Linked DNA regions of Caenorhabditis elegans. The protein of the gene in region 2 purifies or fractionates together with the protein of the main gene of each other region. This does not show direct contact. Each region holds a gene or a part of one and is shown on either strand. Other genes may lie near its edges.

Evidence for each region. Proteins that work in one complex are often made in the same cells at the same time.
Region 1: the proteins of ran-3 (region 2) and xpo-1 fractionate together in Caenorhabditis elegans (co-fractionation; one large-scale study listed by BioGRID). This does not show direct contact.

Annotation. Positions count from the first base shown.
Region 1 is NC_003283.11:7,802,988-7,808,539, forward strand, and holds the start of xpo-1 (Importin N-terminal domain-containing protein), read left to right. Parts: upstream 1-2,076; 5' UTR 2,077-2,304; intron 2,305-2,355; 5' UTR 2,356-2,374; coding exon 2,375-2,895; intron 2,896-2,946; coding exon 2,947-4,504; intron 4,505-4,550; coding exon 4,551-4,666; intron 4,667-4,716; coding exon 4,717-4,987; intron 4,988-5,135; coding exon 5,136-5,376; intron 5,377-5,379; exon of another isoform or gene 5,380-5,431; coding exon of another isoform or gene 5,432-5,552. Other genes in the region: uvs-1 (UV-stimulated scaffold protein A homolog), read right to left, coding at 1-272, 322-420, 469-591, 636-698; ZK742.3 (NADH:flavin oxidoreductase/NADH oxidase N-terminal domain-containing protein), read right to left, coding at 5,432-5,552.
Region 2 is NC_003280.10:8,321,548-8,327,030, forward strand, and holds ran-3 (Regulator of chromosome condensation), read right to left. Parts: upstream 3,506-5,483; 5' UTR 3,504-3,505; coding exon 3,426-3,503; intron 3,380-3,425; coding exon 3,061-3,379; intron 3,004-3,060; coding exon 2,666-3,003; intron 2,620-2,665; coding exon 2,325-2,619; intron 2,251-2,324; coding exon 1,679-2,250; intron 1,623-1,678; coding exon 1,515-1,622; 3' UTR 1,065-1,514; downstream 1-1,064. Other genes in the region: C26D10.3 (Pyridine nucleotide-disulfide oxidoreductase domain-containing protein 1), read left to right, coding at 3,919-4,059, 4,109-4,556, 4,604-4,845, 4,893-5,102, 5,151-5,285.

The sequences.
Region 1 (5,552 bases), on a different chromosome or scaffold from region 2:
TTCTCAATCATTTTCATTTTTCTTTCTTCCAAAATCTTTTTTCGTTTTCTTTCCGCTTCAATTTTCTTAGCTCCATTTTCATAGTCTACAAATTTTGTCTTCTTCAACGTCACCACCAAACATTTCATTCTTGCATCGTTCTTCACACACTTCTCCTTTTCCCAGCTTTTAATCACTGTTATCGCTTCGACTTTCAGCTCATTTCCATGTTTTTTCGAACCAGGGAGTGGGTTACGAATTGGGTTTGTTTCGAACATTAATTCGAGAAATTCCTAGAGAAATTTAATTTTTTAGTTTAATTTAAGCTTTCACAAAACTCACTGATGGATCATTGAGTAGATTTTCCCGAAATATTGGAAATTGTAAGAAGAAGCTATTGAACAGTTGCAGAATTAGTTTCCTATCGGGACATCCTGATCTCTTAAAATGTTTTAATTAATTAATTCTAATGTTAATCTTGAATCTTACGCTTGTAGTATCCAGCAATACTTCTATCACATTCTCGCAGCCTTCTTCGTCCTGATTTGCCACTTCTTTTTGCAAATTTTGATATGGTATTGATTCAAAGTCCAACTTTCCATCATCTGTCAGCTGAAAACTTTCGCATAATTTTGTTTTTTAGTTCCAAAACTCACTTCTCGTATGAATCGGTTCAAATTCTTCCTTATTATTGTTGTGGAGTTGTCAATTGAATCCATAAAACTGCAGTACTGAAAACAAAAACAAAAATAATGTTTTCTATCATAATCTTAAAGGCGCATGCAAAGAAAACCGTTCACAGGTCTCGAAGCGAAATAGGTGATACGGTTGTTTTTTTCAAATATTCCTCACTTTTGGTTGCCTTCTTTTCAACATTTTATTTGTTTCCCGATAAGTTTAGACGCCAATTTTTATTTCAAGGGAAATAATTTTATTTAGCGAAAATTATCAACATTTTTTCTTGCTTTGTTCTCAAGTTTGGCTTCATTTTTCTTCTGAAAATCACAAGAACGATGAAAACAACAGCGTATAAACATGAATTTAATTTCGCAATCAAATTATTTTCGAAATAATTCGTTAAGATGTACTTAAAAATTTAACAGCACATTTTATTTTTGTGAATATCTACTTTCGAAAAGTAAGTAAAATACATTTTACTCGTTGTTTCCGTTCTCACCAAACACAGAAATATCAGGTCCGCGAGTACCCAACAGCCGCGAAAGTTTTTGTCAAATGCGCTCCATCGTACTCTTTTGCGTCTGCGATGAATTCGAACAGGAAAGGCCGCGAGGAGACTTTCCCCGCGCGCGCCGGCGCGTGTCTTGTGATAAAAACTGGGATGGCCGCTGAGCATGAATCCGACGATTTCTCCCACTTCTTCCGTTTTTTGTCTCTCACACGTAAAATCTGCTTCACCGCTGTTTTTTTTCCGTTCTCATAGCAAATAATAGGTGTGTAGTGTGTCACGTGCGGCGATTTTGTTGCTTCTATTTTCATTCAATCTTTCTCATTTCGACATTTTCGACGCGCGTCTCGGCCAAAAATATTCAGAATGGTCCTTCCGTTTCTCAATTTCTTCTCCTGTCTTCATGTATCTGCAAACAAGTAAACATGCGAAAAAAAATCACATGACCCCTCCTCAATAGCTCCTACGCTTTGTTTTCAATGTTTTCCGAACGTAAAGAGAGGGCGCAAGTCATGCACATCACGTGACAAGACAAAGCGGGACGGGTGCACTCATCGAGGTGTCCTCAATCGATTTTTTACCGTTGCTTACAATAACATCGCGCGCTCTGTCCCAATTCAGCAAGGTCGCACACAATATTTTTCGCAGTGAGATTTGTTTGGCCGAACTTTTGCATTCAGCATTTCTCACTTCCTAGTCTTGAATAGATCCTTATCAATCCAGTAATTTCGAAACATTTGACTGTCAAAAGTGACGATGATGAAAGAAATATCTCTCGTCTTCTCCCATCTCCAATTTCCGTTTCTGAATTTATTTCTGTCAAACTTTAGGTCAATATTTTTTCCCTCTCTTGACATATATTTTCTACACCTTTTGGTTTGCAAATTTAAAAATAATTTTCTTATTTTCAGAACTGGGCTAGATCGATCGTCCCATCGTCAACAGTCGGTTGTGTGAGAGAGCGTGAGAGTGTGTGTGCGAGTGAAACGATATTTTGGCCTAATTTTCCAGCTTCACTGTGAGAAACACAGGATTTCTGCCCGAAAAGCGAGAGCCTGAACCCCGCCAGTTTTGTGTGTGCGTGAGTGTGTGAGACTGAACTGGAAACTACTGCCGATTTTTGCGAAATTTGATCGCTGGTAAGTTATTTTATATTTATAGTGTTGGTCAATAAATGCTATCAATTTCAGAAACCGACAATAAAAAAACATGGCTGTCTCAGCAATGGAAGTGCTCTCTGAAGCGAAGCGTCAATTCGCCCAAGGTGACCGTATCGATGTGACTCTTTTGGATCAAGTCGTCGAGATTATGAATCGAATGAGCGGAAAAGAACAGGCCGAGGCTAACCAAATCCTCATGTCGCTCAAGGAAGAACGCGATTCGTGGACCAAAGTCGATGCGATTCTTCAATATTCGCAGCTAAATGAGTCCAAGTATTTTGCACTTCAAATCCTTGAGACTGTCATCCAACACAAATGGAAGTCGTTGCCACAAGTCCAACGTGAAGGAATCAAGTCGTACATCATCACCAAAATGTTCGAATTGTCTTCTGATCAGAGTGTCATGGAACAAAGTCAACTGCTTCTTCACAAGTTGAACCTCGTTTTGGTTCAAATTGTCAAACAAGATTGGCCAAAGGCATGGCCAACATTCATCACCGATATTGTTGATTCATCGAAGAACAACGAGACCGTTTGCATCAACAATATGAATATTCTGAGCTTGTTGAGGTATTTTGAATTAGTTTTAAAATGTTTTGCTACATTTATTATATTTTTCAGCGAAGAAGTATTTGATTTCGGATCCCAAAACCTCACCCAAGCCAAGGAACAACATCTGAAACAACAATTCTGTGGACAGTTCCAAGAAGTATTCACACTGTGTGTCAGCATTCTCGAGAAATGTCCATCCAACTCTATGGTTCAAGCTACCTTGAAGACTCTTCAACGATTCCTCACCTGGATTCCAGTTGGCTACGTTTTCGAGACAAACATCACGGAATTGCTGTCTGAAAACTTCCTTTCGCTTGAAGTGTATCGTGTCATCGCTCTTCAATGTCTCACGGAAATTTCACAAATTCAAGTTGAAACCAACGATCCCAGCTACGACGAAAAGCTTGTCAAAATGTTCTGCTCTACAATGCGCCACATTAGCCAAGTTCTATCTTTGGACCTCGACCTGGCTGCTGTCTACAAAGATGCTTCCGATCAGGATCAGAAACTCATCAGTAGTCTGGCTCAATTTCTTGTCGCGTTCATCAAAGAGCACGTTCATCTGATTGAAGTAACTGATGAGCCATTAACTGAGGCTAAAATTTTAATGCGAGAATCTCACGACTATGCTATTCAACTTCTTTTGAAAATCACTTTGATCGAAGAAATGGAGGTTTTCAAAGTTTGCCTCGATTGTTGGTGCTGGTTGACTGCTGAGCTCTACCGTATATGTCCATTCATTCAGCCAAGTACTCTTTACGGAATGATGAGTCAGGTTCGTGAGCATCCACGTCGTCAACTCTACCGTGAATACCTCTCGCAACTTCGTTCAACAATGATTTCTCGAATGGCAAAGCCAGAAGAGGTGTTGATTGTGGAAAATGATCAAGGAGAAGTTGTTCGTGAAATGGTCAAAGATACTGATTCGATTGCTTTGTACCGTAACATGCGTGAAACGCTTGTCTATTTGACTCATCTTGACAACAAGGACACTGAAGTGAAGATGACTGAAAAGTTGGCATCACAAGTGAACGGAGGAGAGTTTTCGTGGAAGAATTTGAATCGTTTGTGCTGGGCTGTTGGTTCGATTTCTGGAACGATGGTTGAAGAAGACGAAAAGCGATTCCTTGTTCTTGTTATTCGTGATTTACTCGGGCTCTGTGAACAGAAACGTGGAAAGGACAATAAGGCAGTGATTGCGTCAAACATCATGTATGTTGTCGGACAGTACCCGAGATTCCTTCGAGCTCACTGGAAGTTCCTGAAGACGGTTATCAATAAGCTTTTCGAGTTCATGCACGAGACTCATGAAGGTGTACAGGACATGGCTTGTGATACATTCATCAAGATTTCCATAAAATGTAAGAGGCATTTCGTCATCGTCCAACCAGCTGAGAATAAGCCTTTCGTCGAAGAGATGCTCGAAAATTTGACTGGAATCATCTGCGATCTTTCTCATGCACAAGTTCACGTATTCTACGAGGCTGTTGGACACATCATTTCTGCGCAGATAGATGGAAATCTGCAAGAAGACCTGATCATGAAGCTTATGGATATCCCAAATCGCACATGGAACGACATCATTGCAGCAGCATCCACTAACGACAGTGTGCTCGAAGAGCCGGAGGTAATTTATTTTAAGGGGTTGGCTTTTATATTTATTCAAATTTCAGATGGTCAAATCTGTCCTGAATATACTAAAAACAAATGTGGCCGCCTGCAAATCCATTGGATCTTCGTTTGTAACCCAACTCGGAAATATCTACAGTGATCTTCTATCCCTCTACAAGTGAGAATTAAAAAAAAAAGAAGTTCTGTTAGTAAACCTAATTTTTTTAGAATTCTATCCGAGAAGGTGTCCCGAGCAGTGACAACCGCCGGCGAAGAGGCTTTGAAGAATCCATTGGTAAAGACGATGCGAGCTGTGAAGCGAGAGATTCTCATCCTTCTATCGACATTCATTTCAAAGAACGGAGATGCCAAGCTCATTCTGGACAGTATAGTTCCACCATTGTTCGATGCGGTTCTCTTCGATTACCAGAAGAATGTGCCACAGGCGAGAGAGCCGAAAGTGTTGTCTTTGCTCAGCATTCTGGTCACACAACTTGGAGTCAGTTATCTTTTGAAATTTTGAAAAAATTAAAATAAAATAAAAATAATTTAGGGCTTGAAGAAAAATTTTCAAATTCGTCTCAACTCTTAACTTTTAAATTTCGAAAATTTCTCAAAAATTATAACTTTATCAAATTATTTTTCAGTCTCTCCTCTGTCCACAAGTGCCGAGCATCCTCAGTGCGGTTTTCCAATGCAGCATTGACATGATCAACAAGGATATGGAAGCGTTCCCCGAGCATCGAACCAACTTCTTCGAGCTGGTGCTTTCTTTGGTTCAAGAGTGCTTCCCGGTTTTCATGGAAATGCCTCCAGAGGATCTTGGAACAGTCATCGACGCCGTCGTTTGGGCATTCCAACACACAATGCGCAATGTTGCGGAAATTGGTTAGTTCGAAAGCATTTATTTATTAAAATTGACAAAAAATAGTTTACTAAATTATTAGGTAGATTTGTTCAATGGAACGTATTTAATTACTCCAGCAAATCGATCGTATCCTCCAATTGGTTCCAGCTCTGTTTTGTAGGCTCCACAAGCCTTTTTGAAATTGTTAGCTTCATCT
Region 2 (5,483 bases):
GAAAATTGATAGAAAATAGTGAAAAGGGTAGCAAAGGTCCAAAACAAAACGTGCAAACAAAGAAATACAGAGATGAGATTTCAATTTCCTGAAAGTCGAGCACAGAAGCCAACTTAATGAGAATCTGACTGACAACGTCATCAGACAAATTTTCAAATCAAGTTGTTGCAATAACAAAAGAGAAAAGGATTTTGGATTCTTTATAGCTACTATTATAATGTTGTCAGTTGTGTCAAAACAACCAAAGAAATTAGATAGATATCAGATAATTTTCAGTCAAGAAGAAATTAGTCGCTTTTTTTCGAAATTATTGTTTATTAGAATAGTTTGTACCAGCAAGCATATTCTGAAAATTTTAAAAAGGTCAAACGGTAGCTAACATACAGGCATTTACTGCACTAAATTTTTATTTTAAGAGGCGACGAGAGAATTAGGTGCCTTCGCTACGAGATATTCCCGCGCCAAAAACAGTAGGCATTCTCATGATCTCATGGTTTCTTAATAAAACATGGTGCAATATTGAGTTACAGTAACTCGGTGTCCACGTGTCAAAACCCGTGCACTTATGTAAGCTATGGCGAAAAATGCTCATCTTTAGATGCCTATATAATAGCATAAAGGTTGCAAAACAACTACCAATAATTCAATGAGCCATTAGATTTCGCATAATAAAGTGTTGAAGTTACGCAAATGTATCCAATTTTTCATACTGAAGACAATTTGAATATATATTTAGAATCTGGGTCAAAAGACGACGTGTACTCATCTTTGGAGGTTTTTGCTCCGAGCATGATCCGAGAAGGGCGGTCCCTTCCGGCACCCAATTAGACTCGCTTTCAAAGCCGTTGTTGTACTAGAGAATTGAGATATCTATGAGGGAGTTTTGGAGATGTAGCTCAAAATTCCAAAAAATAAAGGGAAAATTGGAGGTGGATTAGGAGCCTATTTGCATTCAAATCGACTCGTATAATGAGCAAAGGAAACAACATAAGTGGGTAAATAGCAAATATTAGAAGCTCTCTGAAAATTGAAAAAAAAAACGAAACCAAGAGTGTACATTGTTTCACAGATACCCATTGATTTATTTGTCCTTCCAGGAAACGTTTACCATAAATGGTGAAACGGATTATAAAACAGTGAGTTCACATGATAAGAGAACAACATAACTCAGGCTAAAAATGAAAAATTTTTGGATTCCAATATATAGCAGAACTAATAGGGGGTTTTGAGAAAACATAGAAGTTGGAAATCAATCCAGGGATAGAGTGAAGTGTTTAAACGTCGTTGTGCAACGACGTTTCAACAATTCTCCATTTTCACAGAAGGGAACTCTATCCCTTTCTTACATGACTGATGCTACTTGACAAAAATGAAATGATAAAAAAAACAGAAAAATTGATGAGAATGTTACTGGAGAACAATCGAATTGGCTACCGGGAAACGAAAAAATAACAAAATAATGCTACAGAGACAAAACAAAACTGATATAAAAGTTGAGAATAAAACCAAATAATTTAATTTTTCTTGGCAATAATCAAAGTGTGCTGATCGGAAATCGAAGCCCCGATAATCGAATAACCGTCAAGATGGGCGGAGCTGATCTCCTCTGGCTTGGACACCATCTGGAAAATAAGATTGAATATTTTATTTATTGATAGTTTGAGTTTTGAAAAATTACCTTCTCGTCTTCGTCTTTCAATCCGAGACCAAGTTGTCCGGTAGTATCAAAACCCCAAGCGTAGGCGGTTCCATCCTCAGACCAGGCGATAGAAGTGGCTAGTTTGGCAGAAACACCAACGATCTTCGAATCGAATTCTATTTCCTGGATTGTATCGTACAACCAATGCTGTTGGTCGTCCTTTCCAGTCCAATTACCGAGGCCGAGAGCATTGTCTGTGTTCTTTCCCATAGCAAACACTTTTCCATCACTTCCGAGAATGACGACATGCTGGACTCCTTCGATATTAACGAATGTTCTTTCTGCTCCAAAAGCTGGGGCTTCTGCTGGAAGAAAAACCCGAAGCTCGCGGTTGTCCTGTCCGTCTTGTCCGACATCAGCTTCGTCAACTTTGATACCGAGTTGAGCATAGTTATTGAGTCCGAAGGCGTAGTATTTTCCGTCTTCTCCGTGGACAATAGTCCAAAATCCACTGGCGAACACGTTTTTAGCAACAACGTCAAAGAACTTTCCTTTATGCTTAAATCTGAGGGGCACGAGTAAATGATCACCAGATTCATCGCACATGTACTCTGAAATAAAAGTAATCTGTGATGTATTTTGAAACATTAATTCATAAACCAAACAAACTTATGAAAAATCTCACTTGAACGAATAGTTTTGGTACGACTACTGCGTCCTAACTGTCCCATTTCTCCATCACCGAACGTGAGAAGGCAGCCCTTCTCATCCAACATCACGAGATGGTTCTCGCCAGCTGCGATCTTCACAATTTTACGTTTAGCTTGGTGGACAATAACCACCGGCGCTTCTTGCATCTTATGAAGGAGTGGATGAACATCAACGTTTCCATTGGAGTTGCGAAGATTTCCCCAGGCAATTACAGATCCTTGATCAGTGAGAGCAGCGGTAAACGAGGCTCCAGCGGCTAGCATTACAATCTGAAATAATATTTGAATAGAAACAATAATAAGACAGCATACAAACCTTTCCTTCCTTCTCGATATCTTCCTCGAACTTTACTTTCGCAAACTCGTCGGTACTTCCTTCCTTCTCTACACCTTCCGCGGGAACAGTTCCCTTTTCGTTGATACCGCACATATAAACTTCACCCTCAGAGGTAAGTACTGCTGAGTGAACTCCTCCTGCGACGGCTTGAAGTGGTTTTAAACCTTCTTCTTCAAAAATATCAACTTTCCGTGGCTTTTTTGTGGTGGTTCTTCCTGGGTGACCCAGAGCTTCTCCTTCTCCGCACGACAAAACTCGATCGCCAATAATAGAAGGAGCGAACAGGTCATAAGTTAGAAGTGGTGCAACCAACTTAGCTGAAAAATTATTTTTATGTTGTTGTTTCAGAAAATATATTTGAAAAACCAACAAACCTTGTTTCCGTCCTGGAGTTTTAGGCTCATTAAGGGTCGAGTTCATCGTACTATTAATAGTGGTGTTTACTGATTCACTACCCTTACGTTTTCTACCTCTTTTGCCTGGAGTTACAGCAGACTCTGCGGCAGCAGTAGAAGTAGATGGTAATTTTTTTGGGCGTCCAGCTCTCCGGGGAGTTTTGGGAACATTGTCGACGATAGAGTCTGATGCTTCAGTTTCCATGGCAGCAAGTTCAACTTGTTCGGTAACCTCTTCGTCTTCTCCGTGATTTCGAGCACCCGAAGCACTCGACTCTGGCTGATCAGCTCGTGGTGTCTGAAAATCAATAAATATGACGAAATTGTTGATTTACGAAACCAACCTTATTTCCTTGTTCGTTTACATTATCGTTCGGGAGTTCTACCTCTGAGGTGTCCATTCTTTGCTCCGCAGTTGACATTTCTGAAAACAAAAGAATAATATCGAAAGTTGATGAAGGTAACAATTTCCTGTCAAGGTTAAGTTTAGGAGAGTAACAAGAGATGAAAAACTTGGAGAGACACCATGTTCTGAGAAGATACCGATAGAAGAAATGCAACGGGTGTGCGCAAATGCGCAAAAGGTATTTTAAAAAAAGATTAAAGAAGAATGATTAAAAAGAAGTTACTTAAATTTAAAAAAATAAATAGATGTTTACAAAAACGAATGAATTTTGTGAGGAGGCGGAGCTACTTTTGAAATTTGCAATGCGCGCACGCAGTTTTGCAAGGCCGCTCCACGGAGAACAATGTTCTCGATATATTTCTCGAGTAATTCGTATCCTGCGAATAAATTGAGGGTAACTTGGTTTTCAAGTTAACTGGAACATATTTAGCATGAAATATATAATTGTTGGTGGTGGAATTGCTGGAGTTTCGTGCGCCAGTCAAATGCTTCAGTTAGAAAGATCAGCGAACTTGGAAGTAATTATAATCTCCGCGTCAAGTTTCGTGAAGTCTGTGGAGAACTATCAAAAAGTAAGTTGATGAAAACATTTAAGTTTAATAATTATATGGAAATTTTCAGATCGGGCAGTACGGAGAGAAATTTGACGTAAAAGAGACAAATTGCCACGAGCTCTTCCCAGATAGTAGAATTCGATTCTTGAATGACACAGTGGTTACGTGGGATTCTTCAAAAAATGAAATTCATCTGCAAAACAATGAGAAACTGAAATACGATAAACTGTGCATTGCTACCGGATCTCGTCCTAAATTCCAAAAAGAGTTGGGAATTGATCGCAGGATAGTGTTCTTACGAGATACACAGAGCGCGATTCAATTGAAGACTAAACTAAAAAATGCAAAAAATATTCTAATTGTCGGAAACGGGGGAATTGCTACTGAATTGATCTTTGAGCTTAAAACGTTCGACGTGACATGGCTGATCAAAGATCCTTGGATCTGTGCTTCGTTCTTTCCGGAAGACATCGAACAATTCATTGAAAAACGATTGCTGAAGGGACGGATAGATGGTTCGTTCTCGAGATTTCATGTATTGCGTGCTCATCTGAAACTTCAGGTAATAAGCATGACGGACAACAAAAACATCTTCAACATGTAGCTGCTTCTGAATCTGTCTCTGAAAATATGAACAACCCTTCTGGACCAGCGTTGGGTCCCGACTGGTGTTCTCAAATAGACTTTCAGAAAATTTCGGAAAAATCTGAAAACCGATCGGTGACTATCTTGCGTAATTGTGTTATAACAAGCACCGATACGTCCCAAAATTTGTCGGTACATTACATGGATAAAGAAAAGATGGTATCATTTTAAGTTATCGTACCATTAAGCCTAGTTATTTTATTAAGGCAGATAACCAGCTCAATCCAGATATTTTTATTTGGGCAGGAGGTGTAACTGCCAACTCAGAAGTCTGGGCTATGAATAAAATGCTCCAAATCACTGAAAATAGTGGAATTAAAGTCAACGACGCTTGCGAAACCTCACTTCCTAATGTTTTTGCATGTGGAGATGTTTGTGCACTGACTACCACAGAACCATCAACTCTTTGGCAACAAGTTTTATAACCATAGATTGAGTGTTAAATAAAGTTGAAATATTTTAAGAGACAATTGTGGACACAAGCACGTCAGCAAGGAGAAGTGTGTGGAAGAGCGATGGTGGCAGGCGTCGAAGAGGCTCGTATGCAGAATATGTATTTCGAACTGTTCTCGCATTGTACGACTTTTTTCGGGTTAAAGGTGAGATAAATAACAATTTGCATGGTAATTGTCGAATTTTATTTCCAAACACTCATGAAAAAAGAAAAATAAATAATACAGTCAAATTTTTTTGCGTGTAGTTGGAAACTGTTAACGATAACGAAAATTGGTAAATGAGACCACAAGAAACAGAGGTCGATAATTTAGGGGAAACAATAGGCATTTTACTCCATCAGC